Stegostoma tigrinum: one gene and its partners. The protein of the gene in region 3 interacts with the protein of the main gene of each other region in a biochemical or structural test. Links are inferred from orthologs where the notes say so. Each region holds a gene or a part of one and is shown on either strand. Other genes may lie near its edges.

What was found.
Region 1: the proteins of top1a (region 3) and homeobox protein Nkx-3.1 form a complex in vitro, tested with the Homo sapiens proteins (2 studies listed by BioGRID and IntAct). The link is inferred for Stegostoma tigrinum from reciprocal best matches to the Homo sapiens genes TOP1 and NKX3-1.
Region 2: of the proteins of top1a (region 3) and E3 ubiquitin-protein ligase Topors-like, one has a biochemical effect on the other in vitro, tested with the Homo sapiens proteins (2 studies listed by BioGRID). The link is inferred for Stegostoma tigrinum from reciprocal best matches to the Homo sapiens genes TOP1 and TOPORS.

Annotation. Positions count from the first base shown.
Region 1 is NC_081393.1:5,424,653-5,432,164, reverse strand, and holds the start of homeobox protein Nkx-3.1, read right to left. Parts: upstream 3,052-7,512; 5' UTR 2,965-3,051; coding exon 2,775-2,964; intron 1-2,774.
Region 2 is NC_081356.1:30,233,799-30,240,997, forward strand, and holds the start of E3 ubiquitin-protein ligase Topors-like, read right to left. Parts: upstream 3,026-7,199; 5' UTR 2,865-3,025; intron 1-2,864. UniProt on the Homo sapiens protein: Functions as an E3 ubiquitin-protein ligase and as an E3 SUMO1-protein ligase. Probable tumor suppressor involved in cell growth, cell proliferation and apoptosis that regulates p53/TP53 stability through ubiquitin-dependent degradation.
Region 3 is NC_081372.1:14,189,915-14,197,558, forward strand, and holds the start of top1a (DNA topoisomerase I, like), read right to left. Parts: upstream 3,047-7,644; 5' UTR 2,921-3,046; coding exon 2,897-2,920; intron 2,693-2,896; coding exon 2,668-2,692; intron 1-2,667. UniProt on the Homo sapiens protein: Releases the supercoiling and torsional tension of DNA introduced during the DNA replication and transcription by transiently cleaving and rejoining one strand of the DNA duplex.

The DNA of each region.
Region 1 (7,512 bases), on a different chromosome or scaffold from region 3:
GACACACACCATCTCCACTCGCTCTCCCATTGACACATTCCGTCTCCACTCGCTCTCCCATTGACACTCACCATCTCCACGCTGTCCCATTGACACACACCATCTCCATCACTTGCTCTCCCATTGACACAGTCCATCTCCACACGTTCTCCCATTGACACTCACCATCTCCACGCTGTCCCATTGACACACACCATCTCCATCACTTGCTCTCCCATTGACACAGTCCATCTCCACATGCTCTCCCATTGACACACTCCATCTCCACTCACTCTCCCAATGACACACACCATCTCCACTCGCTCTCCAATTCATACACGCCATCTCCACACGCTCTCCCATTGACACATACCATCTCCACTCGCTCTCCCATTCATACACGCCATCTCCACACACTCTCCCATTGACACATGCCACCTCCACCTGTCGCTCTCCAGTTGACACACACCATCTCCACACGCTCTGCCATTGACACACGCCATCTCCACACGCTCTCCCATTGACACACACCATCTCCACTTGCTCTACCATTGACACACACTATCTCCGCTCGCTCTCCCATTGTCACACGCCATCTCCACCACTCACTCTCCCATTGACACACACCATCTCCATTTGCTCTACCATTGACACACACTATCTCCGCTCGCTCTCCCATTGTCACACGCCATCTCCACCACTCACTCTCCCATTGACAGAGGCCATCTCCAGTCGCTCTCCCATTGCCACATGCCATCTCCAACTCTCGCTCGCCCACTGGCACGTGCTAGCTCCTCACGTTCACCCACTGGCACATGCCAGCTCCTCACACTCACCCACTGGCATATGTCTGCTCCTCACGCTCGCCCACTGGCACATGCCAGCATCTCACTCCTTCACTTCCCCATCTATATCAGTTCTATATTATCCCTCGCAGCTCCAGTCCCCCCTCCTTGTGTCACTCCTGTCCCTTGATGATTCTCTCATTGGTCAGTCACATACATTGTGAACATTCTGGGTCCAGTCCCATCACAAGGTCCATGTGCTGCCATCCAAATTCCAGGTTCGTGTTCCACTGTTGGGTTGCAGTCAGTCAGAACTGTGTGGTGTGGGCTTGCAGCACTGCAGGCTTGGTGCTGATTCTTGGAGACCCGCAGGAATGCACTCGTCTAACAGCGAGAGAGGCTGGGTGTACTCTGAGAGGGGGACAATGATGGCCCCAGTTTGAGGGACCCCACAATGCTCCGGATCTGGAACTTCACCCTATCGCAGAACACGCTGCAAATCTCAGCATTTCTATGGCAATATTCCCAATGATTTCTCAACCCATTGAATAAATGGCCCAGAAGGAGAACCTTCTGCCAGTCTAGTCCATGATAGCTCTGGGCTGAGGAGTCAGCAAACATCAGTAGCAGGCTGGGCCTACCCTGTGCTTGGGGTCGTGGTCACAATCACCTGTTCCCCCCAGCAGCCTGCTCGACCAGTCAGTCAGATCTTCCCGGCTGCCCCTTGTACCACCAGAACCTCGGCATCTCTGTCTCCATCATCGGCAGAGCCTCCACCTGTGGAGCCTTTTCCCAGAGAGAGCTAAGCAGCCTCCTGGAGATGAGAACAAAACACTCTGTATCTCCTGGCTGTTCTGAATGGCTCAGCCCTTGTTTTCAGGCAGTGACTCCCTCGTCTGAGAGCAAACACACCATCCTCAGCCACAGGGTGGGGGTAACGGTTTGGGTTGGGATTATGGTTCGGGTGAGGCTCTCAGAATCTAAGATCTTTCCCTCAAAGCTACCTCTGTTCTCCCATGTTCCGTCTGACCTGGTCTGAGAGTCCTGGAGTCACACAGCTCGGAAACAAACATCTTATCCACATTGACCACGTTTCCCAAGCTAAAGTATTTCCCATTTCCCTGCATTTGGCACATCTCCCTCTGAACCCTTCCCATTCGTGCCCAAATGCCTTTTAAATGCTGTAACTGTACCAGCCTCGACCACTTCCTCTGGCAGCTCATTCCATACACGCACCACCCTCTGTGTGGAAAAATTGCCGCTCACATCCCTGTTAAATCCTTCCCCTCTTCACCAGAAAATCTGTGCAGTCGAGTTTTGGACTACCCCTCCAAGGGAAGAAGGCCTTAGATATTCACCCTAACCGTGACCCTCATGATTTTATAAACGTCTATAAGGTCACCCCCTCAGCCTCCAATCCTCCAGGGAAAATAGCCCCAGACTATCCAGCCCCTCCCTGTAGCTCAAACCCTCCAACCCTGGCAACATCCTTATCAGCCTTGCTGATTAAAAACCTGTTTCTCTCAGACATGATCATACTGAACAATACATCCCATGCAGCGCTCATGTGGTCAGTTTCACTTCACGACAGAGAGAAAGCAAAAAAAGGTTCCTGCTTTTTGTCGAGTGAGTGATCCGTTACTCTGAGATTGCATCCTCTTCCCCACCCTCCCGCCCGTCCCTCAGGCCCCAGTCCGTGCCTGACCCAGCCCATTGACTCAAAACCACAGCATTTTAACAGAGGGCCCGGGACAAATTTTGGAGGTGTGAAAGAAACAGAAGAAACCCCTGACACACAGACACAGAGGCTAGGTTCAGTCTCCCCACGGTAGGGACGTGATTGACTTAGAGCTGGGGTCCAATGTGAACTGAATTTGGATAGATATCCTGAATTCGCCTTGCACTGACTCGGTCCAGCGGCGATGGAGCGGTGTGACCTGAGGTCTGAGCCTGAGGGGGGTCCCTAGCCGCACCCCCCACCCCCCCCCCCCCACCCCCACCCCAACCTACCTGAGCTCCCCAGAGCCTGACCTGTGAATGCCAGCTCCAGGCCGCTGTGGGAGCGGGGCTCCGCGTTGGGCTGTCCTGCCTCCTCCCTGCTCCCACGGAATCCCCTGGGAAAGCTGCCTGGTGAAGTTTCCTGAAGCGACAAGATGTCCTGGATGAGAAACGACGTGAAAGCACGTCTCAATGAAGCCATGCTCTGTCTTTTGCGTGTGTGTGTCTGTCTGTGAGTGCGTGCCTCTGACAAATCCACGACCTCCACCAGTTTTGAGTTTTGGAAATCGAGGACAAATGGGAGGGTGGGAAGGACGGAGGGAGATGGAGCTTCTTATAGAAGGTGGCTGGGAGGCAGGCATCAGGTCGCCGTCCCAAGCCCTGCCCTGCACAGGAGGTGGGGTGGGGGGGGAACACTGTGCTGTTGTAGCTGACAACGCAGGCAGTCAGGAAGCTGGTGCCACAGGCTCTAGGGACTGGCATATATCCGCGCTGCCGTCCACACTGTGCCCCAGCTAAGGTCCCAGTTCTCTGAGCACCGAGCGCTGCTCTTTTGCAGCCTGTGTGTGTGTGTGTGTGTGTGTGTGTGTGTGTTTGCATGAGAGAGAGAAAAAGCTGGCCAACATGTCGTTCTGGAATGGCAGAGAGCGAATCTACGGCCAGCTCTCCCCACCCCGGGGCAATGCAGCTGGGAGAGGCGAACTGTCGCAACAAGGTTGGTGTGGGGTGTGGGGGGGGGGGGGGGGGGAGGCGGCGGCGACGCTTGAAGATACTGCAGGGATGAGGAGCTGGAGGAGGCCAGGGACATTCCGCTTCCCTGGGGAAAGAGAGGCAGGGCGAGCTGGTTAAGGGAATAGGACCGTCGCAGTCTCCATCCGCTTCCCCCTGCCATCATTTCCCCTGAGAATGGACAGGACGCGCCCCCCCCCCCCTTCCCCCGAGTTCTACACATCCCGTCCACCTCTCTCAGTCAGCTCAGCTGCTGGGAAACTTGTTCAGAGAAGGTCAGGAAAGAATGGGCCAGGCGCCTGCCAATGTACAGCTGGCGGGACAACAGCACACCCATCCCTTAGTCACTCAAACAAAAACCCCGCAACAAATGCATCAACTTTCCATTCTGCATTCGGCCCTTTTCCAGCCTCAGAAATCTTCCTTCTAGCCCCAAACCTCCTGAAACTGGGTTCCCATGGCATTCCAAATACAGGTTTTACAAGCTTCATAAACATACGGTTCAATGCAGTGCACTCCCTCCCGGGGTATCTTCTTCTCTGTACAAACCACCCCGAACCCCTCGATTAGATTACAATCTCTATCTCAATCCCAGGTCTCTGTGATTTTACCTATAAATCATCTGAGCACCTTGATTAGATTCGCTCCTAGGTATCTGTGATTCTATGCATAGGCACTGATATCAATTGTTTAAGTAAGGTGCAACAAAGGGGAAACAGTGTCCAAAATATATTTGAATTTCCAAACAAAAAAGGTCATTGAATAAGCTTCCACGCGTAAGGATACTTTGTAAGAGAAGATCCAGTGGTGACGGGTGTTTCGTGAGCACGGACTGAAGATAGTCTTCTAGTAGTTGGACAAAATGGAAGGATTAGGGATAAAGTTCAGGTATTGAGAGGACATTGAGTGGCAGAGCAACTTTGTAGATGGAATGTGATGTGGGAAATTATGGGTTAATGCACTTTGACAGGAAGAATACGAGAATAATGATCATTTAAACAGGCAAGAACTACGGAAAGCTGCAGCATAACGGGGTTTGGACGACTCAGAGAAGGTAGCGTGCAAGTTCAATAGATCATAAAGAGGAAAGATGGAAGGAAGAATGAAAGGAAAGATGGAAGGAAGAATGAAAGGAAAGAGGTCTTGATAAAACATTGAAATAGAGAGAGGCCGCGCAGAGACGGGCAATACATGAAGAATAGACACAGAGGGACCAAGATAAATAGACACAGGGGGACGGTAAGGGACAGCTTGACTAGCAGCTGAAGTTGGAGTGACAAATACAAGAGGAATATTGTCTGAAGAAGATTAAAACCAAGAGCTCAGAATCAGCCTGATAAACAAGGAAAGACTTTGACTCAAATGAGCGGTATGACAGGTCGGCACAACATCGAGGGCCGAAGGGCCTGTGCTATTCTGTAATGTTCTATGTTCTATGAGCAGCAAAAGGAAATCGGGGAGAGAGAGAAGTCTGAGGGAATGGATGACATAGATGGAGAGAGAAAACCCAGAAATGTGGTTGGAGATAGAGCAAGCCAGGTAGAGACAGTGAGGGAGAGGGGAGACAGAGGGAAGTGTCAGAGTGAGGGAGAGGGGAGACAGAGGGAAGTGACAGAGTGAGGGAGAGGGGAGACAGAGGGAAGTGTCAGAGTGAGGGAGAGGGGAGACAGAGGGAAGTGACAGAGTGAGGGAGAGGGGAGACAGGGGGAAGTGACAGAGTGAGGGAGAGGGGAGACAGAGGGAAGTGTCAGAGTGAGGGAGAGGGGAGACAGGGGGAAGTGACAGAGTGAGGGAGAGGGGAGACAGGGGGAAGTGTCAGAGTGAGGGAGAGGGGAGACAGAGGGAAGTGTCAGAGTGAGGGAGAGGGGAGACAGAGGGAAGTGACAGAGTGAGGGAGAGGTGAGACAGAGGGAAGTGACAGAGTGAGGGAGAGAGGAGACAGAGGGAAGTGTCAGAGTGAGGGAGAGGGGAGACAGGGGGAAGTGACAGAGTGAGGGAGAGGGGAGACAGGGGGAAGTGACAGAGTGAGGGAGAGGGGAGACAGAGGGAAGTGTCAGAGTGAGGGAGAGGGGAGACAGAGGGAAGTGACAGAGTGAGGGAGAGGGGAGACAGGGGGAAGTGACAGAGTGAGGGAGAGGGGAGACAGGGAAGTGACAGAGTGAGGGAGAGGGGAGACAGGGGGAAGTGACAGAGTGAGGGAGAGGGGAGACAGAGGGAAGTGACAGAGTGAGGGAGAGGGGAGACAGAGGGAAGTGTCAGAGTGAGGGAGAGGGGAGACAGAGGGAAGTGACAGAGTGAGGGAGAGGGGAGACAGAGGGAAGTGTCAGAGTGAGGGAGAGGGGAGACAGAGGGAAGTGACAGAGTGAGGGAGAGGGGAGACAGGGGGAAGTGACAGAGTGAGGGAGAGTGGAGACAGAGGGAAGTGTCAGAGTGAGGGAGAGGGGAGACAGAGGGAAGTGTCAGAGTGAGGGAGAGGGGAGACAGGGGGAAGTGACAGAGTGAGGGAGAGGGGAGACAGGGGGAAGTGACAGAGTGAGGGAGAGGGGAGACAGAGGGAAGTGTCAGAGTGAGGGAGAGGGGAGACAGAGGGAAGTGACAGAGTGAGGGAGAGGGGAGACAGGGGGAAGTGACAGAGTGAGGGAGAGGGGAGACAGAGGGAAGTGACAGAGTGAGGGAGAGGTGAGACAGGGGGAAGTGACAGAGTGAGGGAGAGGGGAGACAGAGGGAAGTGTCAGAGTGAGGGAGAGGGGAGACAGAGGGAAGTGACAGAATGAGGGAGAGGGGAGACAGAGGGAAGTGACAGAGTGAGGGAGAGGGGAGACAGAGGGAAGTGTCAGAGTGAGGGAGAGGGGAGACAGAGGGAAGTGACAGAGTGAGGGAGAGGGGAGACAGAGGGAAGTGACAGAGTGAGGGAGAGGGGAGACAGGGGGAAGTGTCAGAGTGAGGGAGAGGGGAGACAGAGGGAAGTGACAGAGTGAGGGAGAGGGGAGGCAGAGGGAAGTGACAGAGTGAGGGAGAGGGGAGACAGAGGGAAGTGACAGAGTGAGGGAGAGGGGAGACAGGGGGAAGTGTCAGAGTGAGGGAGAGGGGAGACAGAGGGAAGTGACAGAGTGAGGGAGAGGTGAGACAGAGGGAAGTGACAGAGTGAGGGAGAGGGGAGACAGACGGAAGTGACAGAGTGAGGGAGAGGGGTGACAGAGGGAAGTGTCAGAGTGAGGGAGAGGGGAGACAGAGGGAAGTGACAGAGTGAGGGAGAGGGGAGACAGGGAAGTGTCAGAGTGAGGGAGAGGGGAGACAGAGGGAAGTGACAGAGTGAGGGAGAGGGGACTCAGAGGGAAGTGTCAGAGTGAGGGAGAGGGGAGACAGAGGGAAGTGACAGAGTGAGGGAGAGGGGAGACGGGGGAAGTGACAGAGTGAGGGAGAGGGGAGACAGAGGGAAGTGTCAGAGTGAGGGAGAGGGGAGACAGGGGGAAGTGACAGAGTGAGGGAGAGGGGAGACAGGGGGAAGTGACAGAGTGAGGGAGAGGGGAGACAGGGGGAAGTGACAGAGTGAGGGAGAGGGGAGACAGAGGGAAGTGTCAGAGTGAGGGAGAGGGGAGACAGAGGGAAGTGACAGAGTGAGGGAGAGGGGAGACAGGGGGAAGTGACAGAGTGAGGGAGAGGGGAGACAGAGGGAAGTGACAGAGTGAGGGAGAGGTGAGACAGGGGGAAGTGACAGAGTGAGGGAGAGGGGAGACAGAGGGAAGTGTCAGAGTGAGGGAGAGGGGAGACAGAGGGAAGTGACAGAGTGAGGGAGAGGGGAGACAGAGGGAAGTGTCAGAGTGAGGGAGAGGGGAGACAGAGGGAAGTGACAGAGTGAGGGAGAGGGGAGACAGAGGGAAGTGACAGAGTGAGGGAGAGGGGAGACAGGGGGAAGTGTCAGAGTGAGGGAGAGGGGAGACAGAGGGAAGTGACAGAGTGAGGGAGAGGGGAGGCAGAGGGAAGTGACAGAGTGAGGGAGAGGGGAGACAGAGGGAAGTGA
Region 2 (7,199 bases), on a different chromosome or scaffold from region 3:
AATGTGAAATTATCTTTTGATGGGTAACATTTCCCTTCTGAACACAGTGCCTGCATTTAAAAAGCAAGGACATCTGTCTCTCCATTTTTTTCAGGATTCTAATTCAATCAATGGGTGTACCGACATAATCCTTCTTGAAAACAAAATCTTGATGCACAAAAGTATCTCGTCCTGCTATAGTGCAGGAAAGAACTGGCCAAAACAGAAACAGAGATCCACTGATATACAGTGCAGTCACAATATCAATAAAAGGGATCAGCACTCACTCCATTTGTATATGGAAGACTGAAGTCATCTTGTCACCAGAACTTTCCAACAAGCACCAAGACCTAGCCTGGCTAGCAATGAAAAGGGTATCAGCTGTCAGATCCTTCATGCATAGCCAGTCTCCGGCCACAACCGCATGCTGCTGTGGTGGCTATCACACATCTCTTTCTGGAATGTGCCTTTGCAATTAAGGTCAGGAGAGAGATGCAGTGGTTTTTGTCAAGTTTCATCCTGGGCAGCTCTGTGACACAGGCCTCTGTGATCTATAGGCTAGTCTCTAAGTCACACACCAAAACAAACAGTGACTGCACTTGGAGGGCCATGGACTCAATGACAGACACTCTTTAGTCTGCCTGAAACTTGTTGGTCTTCCAGTGCAAACAGTTTACCTCGACTGAGCGCTGCAGACTGGAACATGCGAAGGTCCAGGCTCCATTCTGAGGAATGCACAACAGCTTGGGGCAGCTGCTGCCAAGGCACAGACTACAGTCTTACTTGGCAGTCCTTCTGCCAAAATATAATGAGGGGAGATATGTTACGTTTCAAGATAGCCTTGTAACCTTAATGAAAATGTAAATAGTTTCCTCTCACGATTATAAAATACCTTTTTGTTGCAACTGGATTGAAATTCTGGTGCATGTCAAAATTCTTGTTGTGCTTATTTAAAGATAATTTATGAATGAATATATTTTTGAAACAAATGCGTGGATGCTGATGTCTGTTAGTATTTTCTCATGCTTTAGAAGCTCTCATTGACAGGCACAGGTGTTGCATGCAGAATCCTAATGGTCTCGGGGTATTATTGCTAGACTATTAATCCAGAAACTCAATTAATGTTTTGGGGATCCAGGTTCATATCTGCTACAGCAGATGGTGGAATCTGAATTCAATGTCTGCCTACATGTGACTCCAGATCCACAGAAATGTGACTGACCCTGAAATGCCACTTTGAGATGGCCTAGCAAGTCACTCCAGGAATCAGCAATAAACACTGGCCAGCCAGTGATGCCTACAATTTGTAGAGCTACAAGGTGACAAGGCAGCAAAAATAAAACAATTCGAGGACAGAGACTTTTAAAACCAGAACCTGAGCCATAGCCAGTGATGCCTACGTCCCATGAATGAAATAAAAAGAGACCATAGTTCGAGATAACAAAGTGTGAAGCTGGATGAACACAGCAGACCAAGCAGCATCGCAGGAGCACAAAAGCTGACGTTTCGGGCCTAGACCCTTCATCTGATGAAGGGTCTAGGCCCGAGACATCAGCTTTTGTGCTCCTGAGACGCTGCTCGGCCTTCTGTGTTCATCCAGCTTCACACTGTTATCTTGGGCTCTCCAGCATGTGCAGTTCCCATTATCTCTGATCAGAGATTGTAGTTCACTTTATTCTGTCTCAAATGGAACCTCAAATTACGACAAGGTGGTACCACCTTTACATGCACCAGCGATCCTTGTAACATCTCAGTGAAATGCCAAATTAGAGAATGAGAGTTCACTATCCCAGAACTTTGCCCAGATGTATTTCATACAAGTTTTTCATGCTGTCAAAAGCAGATTTCAGAACCAAAAGAACGGTTTGTTCAGTGGTTACATCAGGCCATTTCTAATCTTTTATTGCAAACATCTGGTTATCTTTACATGGCTAAAAAGTGGATTTCTGCTTAAACAGAGAGAAAAGCTGGTGTAAAGTAACTGACACTTTTGTAGACGTTCTAATACAGGAATGGGCAGAATACTTTGCCCTCTGAGGCTGGTTTATCTGTCATCATGCGAAGGTACTGGTGTTGGACTGGGGTGGACAAAATCAGACATTACATGACACCAGGTTACTGTCCAACAGGCTTATTTGAAATCACAAGCTTTTGAAGTGTTACAGAGAAGAAGGGTCCTGACCCGAAACGTCAAACTTTCCTGCTCCTCTGATGCTGCTTGGCCTGCTGTATTCATCCAGCTTCACACCAAGTTATCTTTTTGACATGCTACTCCTTCATCAGGTGACTACGAAAGCACTTCAAAAGCTCGTGATTTCAAATAAATCTGTTGGACTATAACATGCTATCATGTGACTTCTGATATTTTCCCTCATCAGTAAGATGATGGCAGAACCCCAATCAGCCACACCTCAAACCCCTAACTCTTCCAGCAAAAATCTATAATGCTCACAGACTTATGTAAGGATTGTGCTTTGAAGGAGAGGATTCCACACTTCTACCACCTTTTGTGTGAAGAGTTGCTTCCTGAATTGTCTGGCTCTTTAATTTCATGATTGAGCTGGAACCTCCCTCCACGGAAGGAATACCAAGAATACCACCAAAACAATAAGAGAAACTGCTGGAAAAACTCAGCAGGTCTGGCAGCATCCGTGCAGAGAAATCAGGGTTAATGTTTTGAGTCCAGCGACCTTCCCTCAGAATTGATGCCACTGACTCAGGTTCTGGTTTAAAAGTCTCTGGCCTCGAATTGTTTTATTTTAGCTGCCTTGACATCTCGTAGCTCCACAAATTGTTCCACGGGGTGCTCACTGAGGTGACAGACCAGAATGCCTACGCCTGGCCCCAGTACCCAGGCAGTTTACCCCTCCCAGGATCTCTCTTACCTGCTGCAGCCGCTCACTGCCCGATCCTCCACACACTTCACTCGAATTATACAGTATTGTAACTGCAACTCTTTTCCTTTTCCTTAAATGCTATAGCATCCCGCGCCCCCCTTCTTCTCCTCTTCCTCCTGGATCCGACCGTGAACATTTGCTCGGATTATTCCCACTTAAAGCCCCCACCCACCCCACTCCCTACCCCTTAGGCTCAGTCTGGGGACAAGCCACTGCCTGTGAGGAGGTGACACCATCACACAAGCGCAGTAAGTGACGGCGTCGCACTGGCCGCCGGGACGCTGGAGGACTACCCGGCCCGAGACGTCAGAAGACCCACAACTGGCCTCCGCCTTCACATGCACCACCCACCGTCACGCTTTGGCCGCCGGGAAAGTGGAGGACCCACTCCGCGACCCTCGGAGGACCGGCTGAGAGAGCGGTGTGAAGTCGTTTCTGCCCGACGCAGCGATGCCGAAGAATTTTGGTTTCGCTGAATCAGGATATCTCAGCCACGGGGATTTACTGCACCAACCCAAAAAGTGGTAGAAGGCGGTGTGGTGCTATTTTAGATCACAAATTATAAAAAAAGGTGGAGAAGAAACCCATCATCTGTGGAGAGAGAGAGAGAATAGCAGGGTTAACGTATCGGGTTCGATCCGAGTCTTTCCCGGAGTGCTTTGCTTTGGTTTGCTTTTTAAATCTCCTTGGCCTTTTATTTTGATATTTGTGAGTGCAGCCTCCAGTGATCGGCTTTGTCGGGTTGCCATAGCCAAGGACCATGATCCGTGTGAGTAAGCGAACGCTGGACTGGATTTATTCCGTTGTGAGTATCATCTCTGGACAGCAGGGAGGGGGTTCTGGCCACATCAGAGCCCTGGAGATGAGCCTCTGATTGCTGAATGCACCAGGGGCAATTCTAGAGAGCTGGCACCTTCGCTGAGTGAACAGGGGCATTGGGTTAAAGTGAGTAAAGTCACCATAGTCCTGCGGGATTTTTCATTTTTTCATTAATTTCTCATTAGAGAGAGAGAGAGAGACGGCCGCTGGTAGCTTCAGCCGAGAGTCACTACACAGCTGGTGAGGAGAGAGACTTATCCTAGGATTCTCTGGGAAGCTGGGGAGGAGATTGCAGAGCCTTTTTGGCTTTGATCTTTAACTCGTCATTGTCTACAGGAATAGTGCCAGAAGACTGGAAGATAGCAAATGTCCCATTGTTCAAGAAGGGGAGTAGAGACAATCCTGGTGATTTTCGACCAGTGAGCCTTACTTTGGTTGTGGGTAAAGTGTTGGAAAGGATTATAAGAGATAGGATTTATATTCGTCTAGAAAGGAATAATTTGATTAGGGATAGTCAACATGGTTTTGTGAAGGGTAGGTCGTGCCTCACAAATCTTATTGAGTTCTTTGAGAAGGTGACGAAACAGGTGGATGAGGGTAAAGCGTTTGATGTGGTGTTTATGGATTTCAGTAAAGCATTTGATAAGGTTCCCCATGGTGGGCTATTGCAGAAATTACAGAAGCATGGAATTGAGGATGATTTAGCGGTTTGGATCAGAAATTGGCTAGCTGTAGGAAGACAGCGGGATGGTTGATGGGAAATGTCATCCTGGAGTTCAGTCACTAGTGGTGTACTGCAAGGATCTGTTTTGGGGCCACTGCTTTTTGTCATTTTTATAAATGACCTGGATGAGGGCATAGAGGATGGGTTAGTAAATTTGTGGATGACACTAAAGTCACTGGAGTTGTGGATAGTGTGGAAGGATGTTGCAGGTTACAGAGGGACATAGATAAGCTGCAGGGCTGGGCTGAGAGGTGGCAAATGGAGTTTAATGCGGAGAAGTGTGAGGTGATTCACTTTGGAAGGAGTAACAGGAATACAGAGTAGTGGGCTAATGGTAAGATTCTTGGTATGGGGATGAGCAGAGAGACCTCGGCGTCCATGTGCATAGATCCCCGAAGGTTGCCACCCAGGTTGATAGGGTTGTTAAGAAGGCATATGGTGTGTTATGTGTTATTGGCAGAGGGATTGAGTTTCATGAGCTGTACAAAACTCTGGTGCAGCCACATTTGGAATATTGCGTACAGTTCTGGTTGCCGCATTATAGGAAGGATGTGGAAACTTTGGAAAAGGTGCAGAGGAGATTTACCAGGCTTTTACCTGGTATGGAGAGAAGGTCTTATGAGGAAAGGTTGAGGGACTTGAGTCTGTTTTCGTTAGAGAGAAGAAGATTAAGAGGCGACTTAATAGAGGCATACCAGATGATCAGAGGATTAGATGGGGTGGACAGTGAGAGCCTTTTTCCTCGGATGGTGATGGCTAGCACGAGGGGACGTAGCTTTTAATTGAGGGGTGATAGAAATAGGACAGATGTCAGAGGTAGGTTCTTTACTCAGAGAGTAGTAAGGATGTGGAATGCCCTGCTTGCAACAGTAGTAGACTCGCCAACTTTTAAGGGTATTTAAATGGTCATTGGATAAACATATGGATGATAATGGAATAGTGTAGGTTAGGTGGGTTTCAGATTGGTTTCACAGGTCGGTGCAACATTGAGGGCCGAAGGCCCTGTACTGCACTGTTATGTTCTATGTTTTGTGGAGGGACCATTGAGTACAGGAGCAGCGATGCGTGGTACAGTTATACAGGGCCTTGATGAGAATATTGTGTTCAGTTTTGTCTACTTTTCTGAGGAAGGATGCTCTTACTTTCGAAGGAGTGCAGCATAGGTTTATCAGGCTGATTCCAGGGATGGCGGGTCTGACGTATGTGGAGAGATTGACTAGGTTGGGATAACAAAATGTAGAGCTGATGAACACAGCAGGTAAGGCAGCATCAGAGGAGCAGGAAAGCTGACGTTCCGGGTCTGGACCTTTCTTAAGAAGGGTTGGAGTGAGTTTTCACTAGGTTGGGATTGTTTTTGCTGGAGTTCGGATGAATGAGGGGGATCTCATAGAGACTATAAAGTTCTGAAACGACTGAAGAGGGTAGATGCAGGGAGGATGTTCCCGATGGTGGGTGTGCCCAGAACCAGGGGTCACAGTAAAAGGACTTGCAGTAGACTTCTTAGGACAGAGATGAAAAGATATTTCTCTACTCAACAAGTGGCGAACCTGAGGAATTCATTACCACAGGAAGCAGTTGATGTCAAACATTGAATGTATTCAAGAGGCAACTAGATGTCGCCCTTGGGGTGAACAGGATCAAAGGTTTTGGGGAGAAAGCAGGATTAGGCTATCGAGTTGGATGATCAACTATGATTGTGAAGAATGGTAGAGCAGGCTTGAAGGGTCAAATGGCCTCCTCCTGTTCCTATCTTCTATGTTTCTATGTTTCATCCTAACCTCAGATGGTGCAGGAATTGCAGCCATGCTGTTGGCATTACTTTGCATCGCAAATCGGTTAATTGAAACAGGAAGCACATTTTTTGCATCCATAGATGTGTATTCCTCTGCAAAACCTTGTATTAAAATTCAATTTGCCATTGTTTTGCCCTCTGTCTAACTCTTGGATTTTGATCATTTTGATTTGTAGTGAGCGTAAGAGTAGGAGCAGAGGTGGGCATTTCAGCCCAAAGAGCCTGCTATTGCCATTCAGTGAGATTATGGTTAATCCAATAATCTTCAACTCCACCCTCATGCCTTTTCCCCATAACCCTTGATTCCCTTATTGATTAAAAATCTATCTGTCTCAGCTTTGAACTTACATAAAAACCCAGTCTCTGCAGTAAATAGTTCCACAAGTTAACTGCCCTCTGAAAGCCAGAATTCCTCATCATCTTTGTAAAAAGTGATCCCCTATTCTGAGATTATCTTGTGGTTCGAGACACTCGCGCAAGGGGAAGCAACCTTTCCACATCTATCCTGTTAAATCTCCAAAGAGACTCGTATCTTTTCTAAAGGTGACCTCTTATTCTTCCAAACTCCAATGAACACAGGCCCAACCTCCTCAACCTGTCCTCACAAGTCTTCCCTCCATCACTGGTATCAGTTTGGTGAACCTTCTCTGGACTGCCTCTTATGCAAGTGTATTTTCTGTAGATAAGGGTCTCAAAACAGTTCACAATATTCCAGCTGTGGTCTGACTAGTGCCTTGCATAGTTTTAGCAAGACTTCATGGTTTTTATACTTCACTCCCTTTGAAATGAAGGCCAACATTCCATGTGCCTTCCCTAGTACCTGCTGAACTTATATGGTAGCTTTTTGAGTCTTTTGTGAGGTCTCCCAAATCCCTCTGAGTTGTCGTTTTCTCTAGTCTTTCTCCATTTAAGTAATTTTCAGTTCTCCTATTGTTCCTGCCAAAATGTAAGACCTCTCATTTTCCCCACTCTAAATTCCACCTGCCAA
Region 3 (7,644 bases):
CAACAACGGGAACAGCCCCTAAGCTGAATTTGAATAGATTTCACAGATTATCTAGTGATTCCAATTGGGATGATATTCTAGTCAGATCAGTTTTTGCTGTGCACTACCCATGAATCCAGGCTCATTTACAAAGAGTGGCCACTGGAGTGTAAATCCCCAATACCCATGAAATCACAACTTAACATGAGACTGTAACTCAAAGGAAGGAGAGTTGTACTTTAAGGGCTTTCAAGTCCGAGAAAAGTTAGTTGCAATAGACTATGCAGAATTCTGTGCTTTCCACCTGTTGACCATGAATACTACCAGTGACGTGGGCTCTAGGAAAAAAGAAATCAAGAATGCAGAAGAATGATTGGAAGGTTACCAGATAAAGGAACCACATGGCCTCAGCTTTTGCAATGATTTTGTCACTGCAGATCACTGGTCAGTGAAGAAAACATGAGAGGAATTTCAGCTGAAAGCCAGAAATATTAGTCTACCACATTAGTTATGGTAAAGACAGAATGGATACAGAACAGACAAAATTCATCCCACAGCAGGTGCTCAGCTTGGAAGAGAGTTCAGAGTTCCTGCTTCTGATCTCCCTAATGTGCCCAAATTTGCCTTCAAGGAAGGAATGAACATGCCTTGCTCAACGTACCTGGCTGAATAGTTGTATAAAATACCAAAAAGCATCAGAAATATGGAGCCATATTATGAGTTACTGCTTTGACAAAAGAAAAATTGCAAACAATCTTAACCGGTACCCTATGTAACAGCCATTCAAATTCAGTGATATTTGCATTCAGACAAGCAGCTTCTCAAATCACACCTTGTTCTTCAAATGAAATCTGGAGTAAAATCCAATTCATCACCAAGACACAGCACCTCAATGAGCAGAATCAAACTTTAAATGTTTCTTTCTGAAAGAGTTCTAGTTTTATTCTTTATCAATATCCTACAGCAGTATAACTTGCCAAGGAAAAATCCAACAGCATTCCACTGTCCATTCATTTTAAATACTCAGTTTCTTCAACTAAACTCAATTCTCTATTACTGCACCTCCCCAAAACCTCACTTCCTTCTTCAAGCATTCAATCATGTGTGCTAGCACAGCAGCTTGTCATTTAACAGAATGGCTTCAACATGCTGAAAAATTAAAACACAGTTGCTATTGGGCAATTTGAATCTTAAAAGGGAAGATGTCATACTTCAATGCACATTTCATAGATCCTTTTATGCTTCAAAATGATAATGCAAAGTCCAACTGACTTTGTAAATCATTCTGAATGCCAAAGAATAGTATATTGAAAAAGGGTATTTCAACAAATGTTAAGATCCTTCAAATTACATATATGTTTCCATTTTTTTGCATCCTGCATCATCCTTGATCTCATTAGAACTGCAATCTTTCAAAACTGAAAACTTTTAACTGGATCAATATCTTAAATCATCACACATTAGTACAATAATTTTAAGCCTCACACAGAAAGGATCTCGATTGCATATCTGTAGATGAGCTGCAAGATGGAATATAATTGATCACAAAGCTATTTAAAAATACCCTCTCCCCATGAACCAACCCAGCAATGCCCTGTAAGTCTGAGTAGACTTTGGGAAAGACTAGTGCTTTTTTTGGGGAAAGGAAACAACTTAAAAGGGTATGGAAAATTTTCTGAAACAATGTCACCACTGCACAGAACAATCATGACAATGCTTACAATCTCTTATTTGAAGACATGACAATCATTATCCCAGCACCGATTCTTTTTCAAAAGGTTAAGCAGATAACCCCTATTTTCCTTAGTAAAAAAAAGCTTCCAGAAGTATCGAAAACCTCAAACTAGATAAAAAAATTCAACGCAAATCGAGAAAGTCTTTTTTTAAAAAACCTAGGGGCAGGCAAGAGAGGGGGGAAAAAAACCATGCAATGCAAACTTAAAAAAAGGGAATCTTACAAAATACTGCTTTTAAAAAATATATAAAAATACATCATAACCTTCACGGTGCTGCCACCATGTGAGTAGAGGCATTGCTGCTCCATCACCCCCCCCCCATATAAAAAAGGCATAAAATGCAAACTGCATTGAAAAAAACAAGTTGCAATTTCTGCCGCCATCCCTTTTGTGTGTCTTCTAGACCCCCCACCTCTCAGAATTCTAAACCTTTCTTCCTCGTTCCTCCTGCCTTCTTATTTAAATGCCCGGCACATTGCTGTCGGTGTGTTTTATATATTTAAAAAAAAAGAGAAGGGAGCCTCGCTCTTAACAACATGCACGAAGCAACTGACACACACACAGTCAGAAAAAATAAAATGGCGCAGAGACTAAGTCCTAACGGCCGAAAAGCCGGCTTTTCGCTCGCGATGCCGGCCCGGCCGAAACCCCCAACAGCCCTCGGGCAGCCTCACGCCAGACTCTGGGTGTAGTGGAGGCGGTCGGCGGGGGAAAGGGCTCGCTGGGGAGCCGGCAAGGCGGTTATTTTGGAGGCTGATTTGAACAATAGGGCTTGTGGGCACGTAGACGGGACTTAGTCTCTGGACGCCATGTCTGATCCTCTTGTTCTTCCCTCAGAGAGAAAACAGGAGGAGAGGGAAAGGTCGAGGGAGGTGGTGGTCGAGGGAGGGGGGGGGTAATGAGGGGGTAACGAACAAATTAAATAAAAGCAATTTTCACCTCAAATACTCACCGTTCAAGCGGGAATCCGTATTGAGCTGTGAACACAAGAAAAAAAGGGGAAAAATCCACGTTAGTACTTTGCTTCCTTACAATCAAAAGGGCCACGAACCATCAAAGTGAGAGACAGATGAATTTTTTTCACAAGTTTCAAGTCATCAAATATATGTTTTTTTGGGGGGGGGGAAATAAAAGACACGGGGTTTTATAAAACGCACGGTCTGGAAGGTCGTTCCACCTACCTGGGAGAGGTGATCAACGCTCATTGTTGGAGGATGTTTCTTTTCTGATTATTCTATAGGGTTTTTTTGTGGAGTTAGTGAGGAGTTGAGTTCTATACACACCAAAGACCTGCTCAGATTGAACTGCTCCAACCCCCTGTACAACGTCTAAGTCCCAGTTTCGACGTACTGCGCATGCACTTGGATTTAACTTAGAGGCGAATTTACATTTCAATTGCCTTGCCCTCACAATTGGTGGCTTCAGCTGCACCAAAGAGCTGATTTAAATAGCACAGACACGCCTCCCTCTTTGCCCAAACTCTCCCCAACCCATCCAACCAGCCCCCTGAGCACCCTCCCTGGGGGCATCAGACTCCTTCCTCCCAGGAAGAGAGGGGATAAACTTTACTCTTGCTTTGTAGTTGTTGGAAAGTTAAGGCAATTCCTCTCAACAGAAGCTGAACAGACATACGCACACACCCTTCCTGTTCCACATCCAACCCCAGACTTCACCCAAAGGACACACCTTCCCCCCACCCCTTTCAAAAACTCAGTGGACCATCAACTATAGAAAAGTTAGCACAGCAACAACTCTCATCAAGCCAAATGATGTCACAGTGGTTTCTTCTGATGTCAGGGCTTCACGATCAGAGCAGCAGGTTAAGTTACTCCAAGCTTTTGCAACAACTTATTTCATGTGGCACCTTTGAATTAGTAAATAGTCCAAAGGCACTTTGCAGGGGTGTTATCATGCAGAAGGAATGGACACAAGCCAAACAACAGCGACTTGAGTTTCTGTGGCACCTTTGGAAAGCATTCCAGAGCCTTATACAACGATGTTTGCAAACCAAGTTTGACGCTATGCCCACTTAATGTGGACAGCTGATCAAAAGTTTAGCCACATCCCAAGGTTTTAAGGAATGTCTTGCAAGAGGAGAGGAAGAGACAGACACCATTTGCCAGAGAATTCTAGACCTTCAGCCCTAGACAGCCAAACAGACTGAATTAACTCCACAGAGGCCGGTATCTCATCACCAAGTTGCTCTTTATTTACACATGCATGGTATTTCAAACTGGTCCGGATTCCACAGAACCAGCTGTCAGAGTGAACAGAACCTCTGATGCTCCTGTTTGTAGCTGTCAGCCAGGGCTCCCTGACTGGAGCAGATTAAAAGCACCAGATAGGGAACTCATATTCTAGGAAGTCCGCCTGGCTGACCTAATTTCAATATAACATCCAACTCCTACATCAAATCTAAATCCGGGAAAGGAGGCAGGCTCTTTTTCTTGTACCCTGCACTGGGGTGTTTTCCTACAGAGTCCAGTTCCTCTGACTCAGCATCAGATACGGGCAGTGTGCTCCAGGTCATAGCTCGCCTATTGCACCCAGGGTGTCAGGTGGTAAAGGCATCGAGGCTGCAACGTCCACCATGTCCGTCTCAGACTCCAAGACTTCTTCAAGGCTAGATTTAGACGGAGAGCCCACAGGTCCAGACAGCCTTTCTGGCTACTCTGAGGTGCTGGTTATTTTTTGCTGACCTATTTGTGCGTTTGTAGCTTTATTGATGACCACATGCTTGTTCAGGACCACCTCACCTACTTGAACTTTGTGTGTCACGGGACCAGACCTTGCATTGGCCATGCCTCTTACCCATGCAGGGTCATTTCTGTGAATCTTACATCGAACTTTATCCCCTGAAGTAAGCTGTCTCTTACCGAGGGGAGTCTTGTGTCCAGCCATTTCTCCCCCACCCCTGCCATGCCCCAAGTCTTGGAATATCAGGTTTAACCCGGTGTGGAGTTTCCTCCCTGTTAGCAACTCTGCTGGACCTATCCCTGTAGTTGCATGAGGGACGTGGTCTGATAATCAAGTAGGAACCAGAACATTTTGGTATCGAGTGAAGATGTAAGCTGTTCCTTGAAGTCTTCCATTAGAGTTTAGACTGCTCTTTCTGCCAGACTATTGGATGATGGCTGGCATGGAGCTACTCTTATATGCCGAATGCCATTCAACTTTAGGAAGTACTTATATAGTCATAGGGTCATACAACACGGAAACAGATCCTTCAATCTGACCAGTCTATGCCAACCATGATCCCAAACTAAACTAGTTCCACCTCCTTGCACTTGTCCCATATTCCTCCAAACATTTCCTAATTACATACTTACCAAAATGTGTTTTAAACCTTGTAACTGTACTCGCGTCCACCACTTCCTCTGGAAGCCCATTGGACATATGAAGTACTTCCTGTAAAAAAAAAATGCCCCCATGTCTTTTTTTAAGTTTTTCTTCCCTCAATTTAAAATTATGGCCCCTGGTCTTGAGATCCCACGTCCTAGTGAAAAGACACCTGCCATTCGACTTATCTATACCCCTCATAATTTTATGAACCTCAATAAGGTTGCACTTCAACCTCATAAATCCCAGTGAAAAAAGCCCCAGCTTATCCAACTTCCCCTCATAACTCAAACTTTCCATTCCCGGTAACATTCTGGTAAATCTCTTCTTAACCCCCCCCTATTTAATAATATCCTTCCTGTAACAGGGTGACCAGAACTGGATACAATACTCAAGAAGAAGCCTCACCAACATTCTGTACAACCTCAACATAACATCCAACTATGTAATAATTTATGGATCTAAGCAAGGACCTAAGCTCCAGTACAGATGTGCAAGCCGGACCGCCTTTGATTACCCTCGTAGTATCTACCAAGGGTGTAACCCGGTTTTGTCAGTAGCCCAAATAGGTCACTTAGAGTGTCTAGAATACAAATTTTTTCCTTCTAAGGCATTTGGGCACCTGGGAGAAATTTGTAGCAATATGTCCAAATTCTTTTTAAGTACTCTTTATTGGTCTTCCCAGTTATTAGCACATCATCCAGATAATTGGCGACTTGGAGTAGACTTTGTAAAATGTTCTCCATTCTCTACTGAAAAATAGTGCAGGCTGAAGGTACGCCAAATCTTGTATATCAGTACAAACCCTTATGGGTATTAATTGTAGCATATGTCTGGGAATTCTCATCTAACCGCAATTGTAAGTTTGCACAGTTCTTGCCCAGCTTTGTTAAGGACAGCTTCCAGCCAGTTTGGAATATAAGTCCTCTATGTGACGGATTGGGTATTAATTCAGTGCAAGAAGCAGTTTACTGTTTGTTTAAAATCTCCACAAGGTGCACTGATCCATTGGGCTTCATAATCGGTACTACCGGTGCTGCCCATTCTGCAAACTGTACTGGTTTGATGATTCCTTCACTTTCCAGCCTCATGATTTCTGCCTCTACTTTTGCCCGTAAGACAATTAGCATTGGGTGTGCCTGCAGAATCATGGAATTGTTTCCTGGTCAAAATATAAGGTGGCCTTGACTCCTTTGATAGTCTCTGGACGTCCCTGAAAAACTTCCAAGTATTTAATTAGGGCTTCAATCAGGCAGCCATTTTCCAATCCAAAAATGTTGAGCCAACCAAGGTGAATCTTCCTCAACCAATTTCTCCCCATCAGGCTTCGGACTGAGCCTTTTACTATAATCATTGTTAACTGAGCTAGTTGCTTCCCATATGGGACTGGAACTGAAATTGTACCTTAATATGTAAAGATTCCCTGGTGTAGGTTCTCAGTCCAGTCGAGATCTTATGCAAATTTAAGGGTCCAGAGCAAATTTTGTCAAAGACTAGTTCTGCAATCACTGATACAGCTGCACCGATATGAACCTCCATTAAAACCGGTTGACTTCTTAACCAGACGTTTATTTTGATTGGTTCTGATTTGGATGTTGCTAAGCAATTTAACTGTTCCAAATCCGATGAAGGTGGACTTTCCAGGGTGTGCACATTCTTGGCTATTGGCCGATGAGTTCTTTTACTCAATTCAGGCCTCATGACACTTCTTTCTGTGCTACTGTTCATATATAATCCTGTGTAAGGTTCTTGGGAAATAGAACCTTGTAAACGTACTGCATTGGGCAACGTGCATCAAAATAGCAAAAGCAACATGCTATTGGTTGGGCTAAATGATTCCCCAATCAATGGGCCAAATCAAAACATTTCAATTCTGCCAAATCGAATTAAGATTGGTGGTAGGAAATTAAACAACTACTTGGAGAAGAAGTCTCCATAAATATCTCTGTCCTTAATAATTGGGGAGCACAGATTCAAAGAGAAGGCTGAGGATTTTGCAACCATTTTCAGTGAGAAGAGCTAATGGGTTGACTATGTTGGATTCCTTTTGAGGTTTCCAAGATCATAAAAGTCAACCTTCAGCCAATTTGTATCATGTCACATGGTATCAAGAAATAGCTGAACAGACTGGACACAGCAAGGTTGTGAATTTTTTAAAAAATCCTGCCTTTAGAGCTGAAGACCTGTGCCCCAAAACTAGTTACAATCCTAACCAAGCTGTTCCAATACAACTACAACATCAGCACTTAGTCAGCAATGTGGAATATTGTCCAATACATCCAGTTATGTAAGATGATTCTGAAGCAGTTAATGTTAAAGCTGCAGCAAGCAGCATCCAATCCAATGATGTCAAGCAGTCTTTAGGTGGAGACAAAAAGCCTGAAATGAGGTCCCGATGGAGATAGGTGTGTCAACTCTGGCTCCTGATACTTTTTGTAATTATGCCTAACAGCGTAATATAACTTGGAACCTATTGCTCTCATGCAATAAACTACACCTTGACTTGTAAGACGAATTTCTTATTAAGATTAAATAGTGGCTTGTTGTCTGCCACTCAGATAGCCCTTGTGGCATAGTGGTAATGTTCTGA